3 linked regions of the Rattus norvegicus genome follow. The protein of the gene in region 1 interacts with the protein of each later gene in a pairwise test. Links are inferred from orthologs where the notes say so. Each region holds a gene or a part of one and is shown in the gene's direction. Other genes may lie near its edges. The genes, in order: Psme3, Tnfaip8l1 and Wdr25.

Region 1 (2,790 bases):
CCTCTCCCTGCTGAGCCAACCTACTGACCACTTCGGCTGCTTTTTAAATGTGTTCTATTAGTGGTAACTTTGGCCTTCCCAACCAGAATGTAAGTTTCTTTTTGACGAGAACCCCTTTTAAAAACTTTATGTGTGTGTGCATTGAAATTCATATGATAGAGGGGTGGGGATTTAGCTCAGTGGTAGAGTGCTTGCCTAGCAAGCGCAAGGCCCTGGGTTCGGTCCCCAGCTCCAGAAACAACAACAACAACAACAACAAAAAAAGAAATTCATATATAATCTCTGGGGTCCAGAAAGGAATTACACTTCCTTGTACAGTATCTTGTAATGGGCATGCTTGTTGAATGCAAAAATTAAACTTGTTTGTATAGTGTCTGTGATGGGCATGTGTGTTGAATCCACACTAATTCTTGCTTCTTTATACCTTTAGCCCACTTACAAGAAGCGCAGGTTGGATGAATGTGAAGAGGCCTTCCAAGGTAAGAGCTGCTATCTAATCAGCACACTTCACCTGCTGACTAGCCGCCCTGAGATGTAGGATGGATCTGGACTTCAGGAACTGAGGTCTCATTTAATTTCCAAGGTTAACAATCAGCAAATCCTCCTGGCTCAGTCATTTAGTCTTCTGGAACGCCAAGAGGGTCTGGTTGTGTGGATACCAGGGAGGATGCTTAGAGGCCCATATTCCGTGCCTTAGTTTCCCCGTAGGAGTAATTGCTACCTGATCCATCAGGGGTGGTGTAGTCACTTAGAAGAGATTATTACATCCAGCTTAAGGGAAGAAGGAAAAGGTGGAGGCTGCTCTTACTTTTTCACTGCAGTGAACATGTGTCCTTGACATATCTTCCAGGAACCAAGGTGTTTGTGATGCCCAACGGGATGTTGAAAAGCAACCAGCAGCTTGTGGACATTATTGAGAAAGTAAAACCTGAGATTCGGCTGCTGATCGAGAAATGTAACACGGTGAGGCAGGGGTTCGTGCCCAACGAGCGCCTCTGGAACTGTGGAATGATGGGAGGGGTTGGCAGGCTAAGGCCTTTGATTCCTTTGCCCTGGCATCAGTCCCCACCAGCAAGAATCATGTACTTCGGGGGCCGGAGAGATGGCTCAGTGGTTAAGAGCATCGACTACTCTTCTAGAGGTCCTGAGTTCCCAGCAATGACATGGTGGCTCACAATCATCTATAATGAGATCTGATGCCCTCTTCTGGTGTGTGTGAAAACAGCTACCGTGTACTTATATATAATAAGTAAATACATCCTTTCTAAAAAAGAATCATGTACTTCCAAGCCTAAGTAGGAAGGACCAAGGTCCTTCTACAAGTATTTTGTCTTCTCATGCTCTAGGTCAAAATGTGGGTTCAGCTCTTGATTCCCAGGATAGAAGATGGGAACAACTTCGGGGTGTCGATTCAGGTAGTGTGCCCGCGTTGCAAACTCCGCTCCTTCCCTGCTTGCTTTCCCTTGCTCTGTGGTGCTGCAGTAGATGGTGGGGAAGTAACCTGACTCACCTGTTTATCCCCAGGAGGAAACAGTTGCAGAGCTAAGAACTGTCGAGAGTGAAGCTGCGTCTTATCTGGACCAGATTTCTAGGTAAGGTGGTTTGCGCTGGACCTAGGAACAGGGGATGGTGAAGTGGGAGGCGTGCTCAGGGTCCAGGCCCAGGAATGTGGTTGGTGAAGTGGGAGGCGTGCTCAGGGCTCCCTTCAGCTGCTTTTTTTTCCTTCCAGATATTATATTACAAGAGCCAAATTGGTTTCTAAAATAGCTAAATACCCCCATGTGGTAAGTAGGGTTTTGTGGTCTGAGGTGGGGTGGCAAGATAGAGAAGAGAGTAGGACTGAGCAGCCTGTGGGCATTTGGGCCTTGGAAGACGAGCCTCCCTACTCCCCATGCAGGAGGACTATCGCCGCACTGTCACAGAGATCGATGAGAAAGAGTACATCAGCCTCCGCCTCATCATCTCAGAGCTGAGGAATCAGTATGTGAGTACATCAGTCTCTGCCCAGAGTTGTCCTGCTTCTCATAGGCCTGTGGTGATTTCTATAAATCTGGGGTCGGAATGAAAGGAGTCCAGAGATGGTGTCTGTCTATGGTGCCATCTTAGGAGGTTGAGCAGTAGGACCCAAAATTTGAGGCTGGCCCAGGGTACAGAAATAGCTGTTTATCAGCTGGGAGTAGAGAGCATGAACCTCTGAGGGAGTCGAGTTGGGTGTGTGTGTACTAGCTAGGTGGAGGTGCTACACCACACATGGATGCTTAAGCACAGGCCTTGGTGCCAGAGGTGGCTTTACAACCAAGTTCTCCTGCGGGATTCATCTTGTTTGTCCTCAGATAAGGTCTCACTACGTATCCCTGGTTGTCCTGCAGCTCACTGTTGGTGACAGACTTTAAAGTTCCACTGACTTGGGGTTGGGGATTTAGCTCAGTGGTAGAGCGCTTGCCTAGCAAGTGCAAGGCCCTGGGTTCGGTCCCCAGCTGGGGGGGGGGGGGGGGGAGTTCCACTGACTCTGTCTCTCAGTCTCTCAAGTGATGGGATAAAAGACATCTTAATCTGCTTGATTTTTTGTTTTTGTCTGTGTGTCAGTGTATGCACATTTGAGAGTGCAGGCACCTGTGGTCAGCAGAAGAGGACATCAGATTCCCTAGAGCTGGAGTTAGTGACAGTTGAGAGTTGCCGACTTGGGTGTCAGCTCAGCCTGCTCCTCTGCAGTGAGAACTCTGGTTCCTGCTGATGAGCCAGTGCTTCAGTCCGGAACCTGATCTTGATCGTGTTTAAGCTCAGACTTCA
Region 2 (4,328 bases), on another chromosome or scaffold:
CCTTACCAGACTCTGAGGACCTGGTGAGGGAGACATTGGCAGAACCAGGGAAGACAGTCCACACCCTCACAAGAGCCTAGTCAAGGCTTCACCTGGGTATTCTAGGCAGAAGCTCCACCCTGGCCACGCCCCCAGCCCCCCACTGGTGGATTCTAGGCGAGTGGAAGGGGTAGGCTCCAGCTCTGAACCACACTTCTAACCCACACAGCTGGGTTTGAGCCCCACTTTATCACACCTATGATGTCTGTGGGTTCCCCAGTCTCACAGAATCAAGGTGCCCAAAAGATGCCCAAGAACCTGCTTCAGTGACACCTGCCCCCCCCCCCGAAAAAAACACACTAGCTACCCTGGCTCATACTTTCAAATCTGGGGTATGAAAATCTAGAGCTGTGGTCTCTCTTTTTGATACTGAGCCATGTCTAGGGTCGTGTGTGGCTGTCACAAGGCTGAGCTCCTGGCACAGAGTGGATGGAGGCTATGGTGACGCTCAGCACCCTGCAGGTTTCTGGCCCAGAGCGCAGATAATTTGAAATCAAGAAAGCCATTGGGGTCTGTGCTGCTCCAGGCAAGTCACTTAACCTCTCTGGATCTCAGTTTCTATCTCTCATAAGATATAAAGCTAGGATTTAATTTTGTGTGTTAAAGCCCGTGCCAGGAAAGGTCAGGATGTAGCCAGCAAACATCTGGGCTTCCCGAAGAGGGCCGGGGGCAGCTGAGGCTTCCCCCAGTGTCCTTGCTGTGACAAGGCCATCCAGGTTCAGCAAGTGCAGACCCATGGTGGAGAGTTGGGGTGGAGTTTGGAGTAAGGTGGGGGTGTTGGCCTAGGTTGGGGGTACTGGGGGTGTGGGAACCACTCCCAGACTGAGTTTCCAGGTCTCACAGCCTCCTCCTGGGAGGCAGCTGGCCATGCCCGGCCTTTGTTAGCGAAGACATCACAGTGTCCCGCCCCCACCTTACCCCAGAGACACCCACCTCCGTACTACTCAGGAACCACAAGGATTGTCCCAAGGCAAATGTTGAGTTGACACGGGGGTCCCAGATGACACTCTAACTACCTAGTGGGTAAACTAGGCCGGCCCAGAGGGGTGCATGTGTCTCGCGGAGGCGTGTTTCTTCGCTTTGGCCTCTCGGATCTCTGTCGCACTATGCACGCGTGCTGCATTTTTCTCTGTCCCAGTCTTTTCCTCTTCCCCGCCTCAGCACTCCTTTGGGCAGCTCTTGCCTAGGCACTCAGCTCAGCGCTGTTCCGGAGGAATTCCCCCGGCCGCAGGCTACGCCCTTGCTCACGCCCCTTTCCTGCCGAGCACCTCTTGGCAGAGGCTTGCTGCTATTGGCTCCTTTGTACACCGCCTGTGCGCTAGCTACCATTTGCTGAGCCAGTGAGGGTCTAGAGGGGGCGCGGCCTTCTCGGGAGCGTGGCCTCCCCGCCAGCCGCCCGGCTCAGATCTAGCGGCCAATGCCTCTGGCCCAGCAGAGGCACCTACAGAAAACTAAAGGCTTGACGGATCGCGGGGAGCAGGTGAGCTATGGGGTCCTACACCAGTTCTCCTGGGGTTTTCCCGTCCCTTCCTATTCCCACACCGCCCTATGTGCATCCTGCCTCAGTTTCACTGGCTTTGGGAGCATCGGTTGTTGTGAGCAGGTTGCTGTGGGCTAAGTTAGTAATCCTCAAGGGGAGACTGGATGGACTTGGCCCTGTACAGGCGTGCAGCCTGACTCCAAAATGGTCTGGGTATTCTCTGAGGTGGCCGACTGGACCCCACTGTGGCTCTGGCTGATGCAGGAATCTCACCTGAGCAGGGTCACCCTGACTGGGACTGGCACTGCAAGCTTCCCATTGCCTGAGGGCTTGGACTCAGTTTTACCAGCTGAGAACTGGGACAGTGACTGGCACATAATTGGCAGGTGACCTGGTACAGGTCTGTGGCCTTCTGGCTCTTTCAGTGGTGGCCTGGAGGGTAAACTAGGGTCCAGAACATGGGCTACGGTTGGCCAGCGAGAGGAGACAGACAGGGAATCAGACTCTGGCTTCTCACCTTTGTGAGCAGCAGGTCTGGAAAAGGGACAGGGTGGAACACTGAGCTGGAAACAGGCCTCTGGGTCACCTGAGCTCCAAGCTGTGAAGCCTCTGGAGGCCTGCCTTGGGGTCAGGACACAGCTCAGACAAACCTGACTCACTTGAACACGTAACTTAATTATAAGCCTCAGTTTCCCTGTTTGTCTTGGGACAGTTGTTTCATGACTCCCTGAGGCTTCTGGGAGGGTTAAAAGCAAAGACAAAATAGAAGGTGAGCCAGGGTGGGCTACACACTGAGGCCATGTCTAAAACAAACGGGACCCTGGAGTGTGGCCCAGTGGGTAGAGTGCACACCTAGTAGGCAAGAGGCCCTGAGTTCCAGCCCCAACATAACATAAACCAAGGGTCACGGTGCATGGTATTCACCCAGTGGTTAGAACAGAGGCTGGTGGATGCCTGTAAGTTTGAGGCCAGGTCTACAAAGGGAGTTCCAGGCTAGCCATAACTACACAGACAGATCAGCCATCTAAAAAAGAAAGAAAGAAAGAAGGAAAGAAAGAAAGAAGGGAAGAAAGAAAGAAAGAAAGAAAGAAAGAAAGAAAGAAAGAAAGAACTGGAACATGAGCTTTGTGTGCCAAAGGTCCTGTTTTTCTGTCCTGGGACCTCAAAGTGGCTGCCTCTTCTCCACATGGGTATCCTCACACTCAGAGCCTCTGCACGTGCGGAGCCCTCTACAACTCTGGCAGATCAACCCTGGCAGCACCAACTTTAAAACATAACAGGTTCACAATCCGGGCCACACCTAGGATGTGGGTGGCTGGGAGGGGTGAGGGCGAGGGCGGAGCAACGGGGACTGTACAAAGTAACAGAACAAAGAAAGTCATCATAGAACACCTGCCCTGGGCTTCCATGCTTGGTGAGCCATGCTTGGGAGTCCAGTGATGAGTGGTGGATCCTGAGGGTATGGACAGACATAGAGACTTCTCCGTCAGTTTACTTTCTGAGCCCTAGGCAAACTAGGACTCGTCCCACAAAAGTTTGTTTAATGATTACAAGTGAGGTGACTCAGCATACAGGCCAAATAATCGGGGCCACCAGAAGGCGTGCCACCTACTGACGGGTGCCATCCAGTGTTCAGTGAAAGCTTAGAGAGAGTGAGGCTCCATTCAGGAGCCCAGTGAGCCCACTCTTCCAAGAACCCCAGTGTGTCTTTTTCTGAGCCCCAACCTTGTGTTTCCCCATCTGGAAAACAGTTGAGGTAATTAAGAACCCCCCAGAAGGTGCTGTGCAGGTGGGGGCTTCTGCAGTCCTGACCAAAGGCCAGTTGAAGGAACCATGGAAGGGCTGACAGCATACAGAGCTCTGGAAGATTCCCAGGCCGGATCAATAGCCACCCCACCCCCTTCTCCATTTTAGGGTGGACCCCAGGGGAAGACTGCAGTTGGATAAGCTCTGAGGTAGGGACTGGATTCAAGTCCCAGTTCTGACCCAGCATTATTCTGTCACTCCCAGGCCCCTGACTCAGTTTCTCATTTTATCATAGCCATGAGGAATTACTTAGTCAGTTAACAAACTGTTCCCGAACACTGAGGTAAGTCAACTGTGTTAGTTAATGGCACCAGCACACAGCAGTGACCAAAGCTGGCCCCACGCCTACCATCTCCTGCCTCACAGTTGGTAAAGCTGGACTCTGTCCTGAGTTATAATGGTAACTGTGAAAAGAGAAAGGAACTGGGTAACTGGGTGTTCGTAGAGATGAGTGATCTGAGATTTCCAGGGTAAAGCAACCACGTAGCAACCTGTGGGAGAGAATGGTAAGTGGTAGGCTCAGCGTGTGTAAAGGTCCTGCTGTTTGTGAGAGCTATGGAGGAGGCACTGTGGCTGCAGAGGAGGGAGAGGGGAGCCATGGAGGGCAGAAGGCAGAGGGGCAGTTAACTCAGTGCTAATGGGGGCTTCTGGCATTTCAGGGACCCCTGACAGGGTAAGAGGAACCAGGATAGAGGCTTCAGACTGCTGAGAAATTCTGGGGCTGAGTGCACACACTGATGACCTTCATATTTCCCTTCCGTTAAAACATTGAGTGGATGCTGGGTGTGGTAGAACACACCTAAGAGGCTGAGGCAGGGGGATTACAGTAAAGCCAAAGGTAGCTTGGGCTGCAGCATAAGACCTTGTCTTAAACCCCAACCCTGAAGAAATGGAGTAGAAGTTGAATCAAAGATCCACACTCTCTTTGGCTCTGTAACAGTCTCTTTTAAAATACTTATTTATTCCTTTTTGTGAATATAAAGCTTAGAGGAAAACCAGCTGG
Region 3 (4,093 bases), on another chromosome or scaffold:
CTAGGCAAGCGCTCTACCACTGAGCTAAATCCCCAACCCCTCAGGAAGAACGTTTAAAAGGAGATTCAGTACTGTGTGAACATATGCATTTGGGGTGAAAGAAACAAATTTGGATGCCATGATTAGAATTGCTCTTACCACAGTTGGGTAGACCAGATGCCTATCCGGGGCGCCTTAGGACCTGATCCTGGGCTTTATGCATGCCAGGTAGGTCTTTGGGCTTTTTGGTTTATTTGTTTTTGTTTTGGTTGTTTTTTGAGACAGTTTCTCTGTGTAGTCCTGGCTGTCTTTGAACTCAATCTGCAGATCAGGCTGGCCTCCAACTCAGATGTCCACTTGCCTCTGCCTGCTGAGTCCTGAGGTTACAGGTGTGCACCACCACCACCAGGCTGAAGTTGTTTTTAAAAACAGGGTCTTGCTATGTATCCCAGGGTGGCCTTAAAATCATAATCCTCCTGCCTCGGCTTCACGAGTGCTAGCCTCAAAGGTGGGTGCTGCTATACATAGGCACATCGTTGTCCTCTTGCTTATTTTCTACCTCCTCCTCCTCCTCCTCCTCCTCCTCCTCCTCCTCCTCCTCCTCCTCCTCCTCCTCCTCCTCCTCTTCTTCTTCCTCCTCCTCTTCCTCTTCCTCTTCCTTCTCCTCTGCTTTGCAATGCTGAGGGGAAAACCTGGAACCTTGCATATGTTAGCAAGAGTTCTGTTAGTGAGTTTTAGTCCCAGCCCCACATAGCTTTCCATTTAAAAATTTATATGTTCAGCCAATGGCAGCCTGTGTCTTTACTCCAAGCACTGAAGAGGTAGAGGCAGATGGATCTTGGTGAGTTTGAGGTCAGCCTGGTCTACAGAGCAAGTTCTAGGACAGGCAGGGCTATCCAGGGAAACCCTGCCTCAACGTGCACACACACACACACACACACACACACACACACACACACACACACACACTATAAATAATTATGTCTACTTAATAGAAAATCCATTTTTTTTACTATTACTTGGATTTTTATATATAATGTCTCTATATATGTTTATGCAATATTTAAATTAGGGTTAACATACATATCTCTCCAAAAATGATTTCTGTTTTTTTTTTTTTAACTTTTTTTGTATATATGGCTGGGTGACAGCATGCATGTCAAGGCACACATGTTGAGGTTGGGGGACAATTTTCATGAGCTGATTTTCTCTTTCCACCATGTAGGTTCCAGGGACCAAGCTCCGGCTTGATGACAAGCACCTTTAATCCACCGAGGCTTCTTGCTGGCCCAGACATCATATACTTTATAGTTTTCCCTTTTTAAAAGGTATGTTTTCTATTTTTAAGTGTGCGTATGCATATGCTGTTGGTGTGCGGGCATGTACGTGTGGGTGGGGGTCATCATGGAGGTCAGAACAGGGTGTCGGATCCTCAGGAGCTAGGGCTACCTGTGGTTGTGAGTTGCCTGAGGTAGGCCAGGGGACTGACTTTGGATCCTCTGGAGGAGCTGTATATACTGTCAATCACTGAGCTACCTCTCCTGCGCCAAACATAGCTTCTTTATGTTGAAATATCTGGACTCCATTTTTGTTCTTTATGTGTTTGTGCTTGTGGAGTTTGATGGCTTTAACTTTCAAGGGGACATCCTGCTCTAAAGTGCAGGATCACCCACATCTTCACGGTTGCTGACTCTTGATCTTGTTTAGTTCTAGGGAGCCACCTTCGTGTGACCGTATGGCCTCGCTGGTGGCGTATGATGATTCTGACCCCGAGTCGGAAGCTGACCCTGCCAGAAGTGGGGACGCTGCTGGTCAGATGAGCGACGTCTCTGGTATCAGCAGACCTGAGGTGGAGTTTGCATCTAGCACAGGTGTGACCAAAGAGGGGGCACAGCACACAGGGAACTCTCCTTATGAAGACCCAGGGAAGCAGCGTCTGCCCCTGGCTCGGCTCTGGAGAAGTGACCCGGGGTCATGTCCCAGCCAGAGGCTACAGTGGCCCTCAAAGGAACCTGATAGCACCTTCCCCACCAGTGAGCCTCCTGGTCCTTCTTTGTGGATGAACCGAGCCCCAGTTGGCCATGTGCCCCTAGCAGCTGCCTGCTTTAAGCCACTAAAACCTGCCTGGGATGCCTTCACACCTTCTCACACTCACAGCAAGCTGGAAAGCACCGCTGGAAATGCCAGCTCCTCTCAGAGGAAGAGAGGTGAGGCCTGCGTGCTGCCCTACATCCCCAAGAGACTAAGGCAGCTGCAAGTGCTGAATCCAGAAGCAACTGGGGGCAGAGATGTCGAGCCCCCGGGGTCCCCTGCAGGGTGTGCCCCGGCCCCACTCTGCGTGGCTCCCACAGTGTCCGAGTTCATCCAGCCATATTTGAACAGTCAGTACAGAGAGACTACGGTCCCCAAGAAAGTGCTTTTCCATCTTCGAGGCCACAGGGGCCCGGTCAACAGCATTCAGTGGTGTCCGGTCTTTAGTAAGAGCCACATGCTTCTCTCTGCTTCCATGGACAAAACCTTCAAGGTAAGATGAAGGATAGCAACTCCCAGTGGCTCTTAGGCATAAGCTACTGGGATGCTTTACTGATTGGAGTCAGGCAGGCAGTGGGTGGACACAGACTACACACTCCCTTTGGAAACTTCTATAGTTTTGTTTGGTACACTGGAGAGAGAGTCCTCTATGCTCAGCCTCAGATCTTTGGTCTTTCCTGCTCCATTCCTTTCTTTCCCAAAAAGCACTTTCTTGGGGACCGTAGTCTCTCTGTACTGACTGTTCAAATATGGCTGCCTTGCCATAGCACTACAACGTTAAATAAATTATAGTATGACTAGATGGTAAACATTTTACTTCTCTTGATAGTAATACTCATATGTTTTAATTTCAAGACAGTGTTTCTCTGTGCTGCTTTGGCTGTCCTGGAACTTGCTCTGTAGATCAGGTTGGTCTCGAACTTAGAGAGATCCTCCTGCCTCTTTGGGGATTAAAGGTTACACTAGTACTGTTCAGCATGCATACATTATTTTAGCTCAAGTATGCTGTAGTTCATTTCTTTTCCTGCGGTTGGACATTTTGTTACCTTTAGTAGCACATCCCATGAACTACACTGCTGTAAGCATGTTGCTACCTACATATTCCCTTGCCAGAGCCTGAGACATCTATTCCCCCAAAGCTTATGGCCCAGAGAGAGAGAGAGAGAGAGAGAGAGAGAGAGAGAGAGAGAGAGAGAGAGAAGATATAGATGTTCTATTGCCTGTGAAGTTAGAGAAATTGGACATCTGTTTTCAGGGGGATGCAGTGTGTTTTCTGCTTGTTTGTTTGTTTTTTAAAGACAGGCTCTCACTGTGTGTGGCTAGCCCTGACTGGCCTCGAACTCGATATGTAGACCAGACTGGCCTCAAAGGCAAAGAGATCTGCCTGCCTCTGCTTTCTATGTGCCACCATGCAATACATTTAACGGCAGCCTGTAACTGCCACTTACAGTCAGCAGAATAAGGGAGCCCGAGATGTGTGCAACAAGTAAGCTGTAGTAAGGGGCAGTCGTAAGACCACATCTCCTGAAGTGCTCCCAGCTTGAGGCCAGCTTGGTCTACAAAGCAAGTCCAGAACAGCCAGAGCTTGTTACACAGAGAAACCCTGTCTCAACCCCTCCCCGCAGATACATGGGTCTCTAATTGTAAACCTAGTCTAGGTGGAAAGAGGTGGGTCTTTTGGGCTCTCTGGTCAGGTAACTTAGCTTATGTAGTGAGATACAGACTGGCGAGAGACAGTTTTAAAAAAACAAGGCTGGTGCCTGTCCTAGTTAGGGTTACTATTGCTTTGATGGAATACCAAAAGCACATTGGGGAGGAAAGCATTATTTGGCTTCCATTTGCACATCATAGTCCATCATCTAAGGAAGTCTGGGCAGCAACCCAAACAAGGCCAGAAATTGGAGGCAGGAGCCGATGCAGAGGCCGTGGAGGGTGCTGCTTACTGGCTTGCCTCACATGACTTGCTCAGCCTGCTTTCTTATAGAACCCAGAACCACAGCTCAAGGATGGCCTACCCTTAATGGGCGGGGCCCTCCCATATCAATCACTAATGAAGAAAATGCCCTATAGGCTTGCTTGCAGC

The links.
Region 2: the proteins of Psme3 (region 1) and Tnfaip8l1 interact in binary tests that used the Homo sapiens proteins (3 or more experiments, as listed by UniProt). The two-hybrid records come from large-scale screens. The link is inferred for Rattus norvegicus from reciprocal best matches to the Homo sapiens genes PSME3 and TNFAIP8L1.
Region 3: the proteins of Psme3 (region 1) and Wdr25 interact in binary tests that used the Homo sapiens proteins (3 or more experiments, as listed by UniProt). The two-hybrid records come from large-scale screens. The link is inferred for Rattus norvegicus from reciprocal best matches to the Homo sapiens genes PSME3 and WDR25.

The regions. Positions count from the first base shown.
Region 1 is NC_086028.1:86,760,920-86,763,709, forward strand, and holds part of Psme3 (proteasome activator complex subunit 3), read left to right. Parts: intron 1-430; coding exon 431-479; intron 480-850; coding exon 851-963; intron 964-1,346; coding exon 1,347-1,415; intron 1,416-1,524; coding exon 1,525-1,592; intron 1,593-1,729; coding exon 1,730-1,784; intron 1,785-1,897; coding exon 1,898-1,984; intron 1,985-2,790. UniProt on the Homo sapiens protein: Subunit of the 11S REG-gamma (also called PA28-gamma) proteasome regulator, a doughnut-shaped homoheptamer which associates with the proteasome. 11S REG-gamma activates the trypsin-like catalytic subunit of the proteasome but inhibits the chymotrypsin-like and postglutamyl-preferring (PGPH) subunits.
Region 2 is NC_086027.1:1,074,387-1,078,714, forward strand, and holds the start of Tnfaip8l1 (tumor necrosis factor alpha-induced protein 8-like protein 1), read left to right. Parts: upstream 1-1,442; 5' UTR 1,443-1,519; intron 1,520-4,328. UniProt on the Homo sapiens protein: Acts as a negative regulator of mTOR activity.
Region 3 is NC_086024.1:133,574,018-133,578,110, forward strand, and holds the start of Wdr25 (WD repeat-containing protein 25), read left to right. Parts: upstream 1-1,211; 5' UTR 1,212-1,307; intron 1,308-1,686; 5' UTR 1,687-1,714; coding exon 1,715-2,503; intron 2,504-4,093.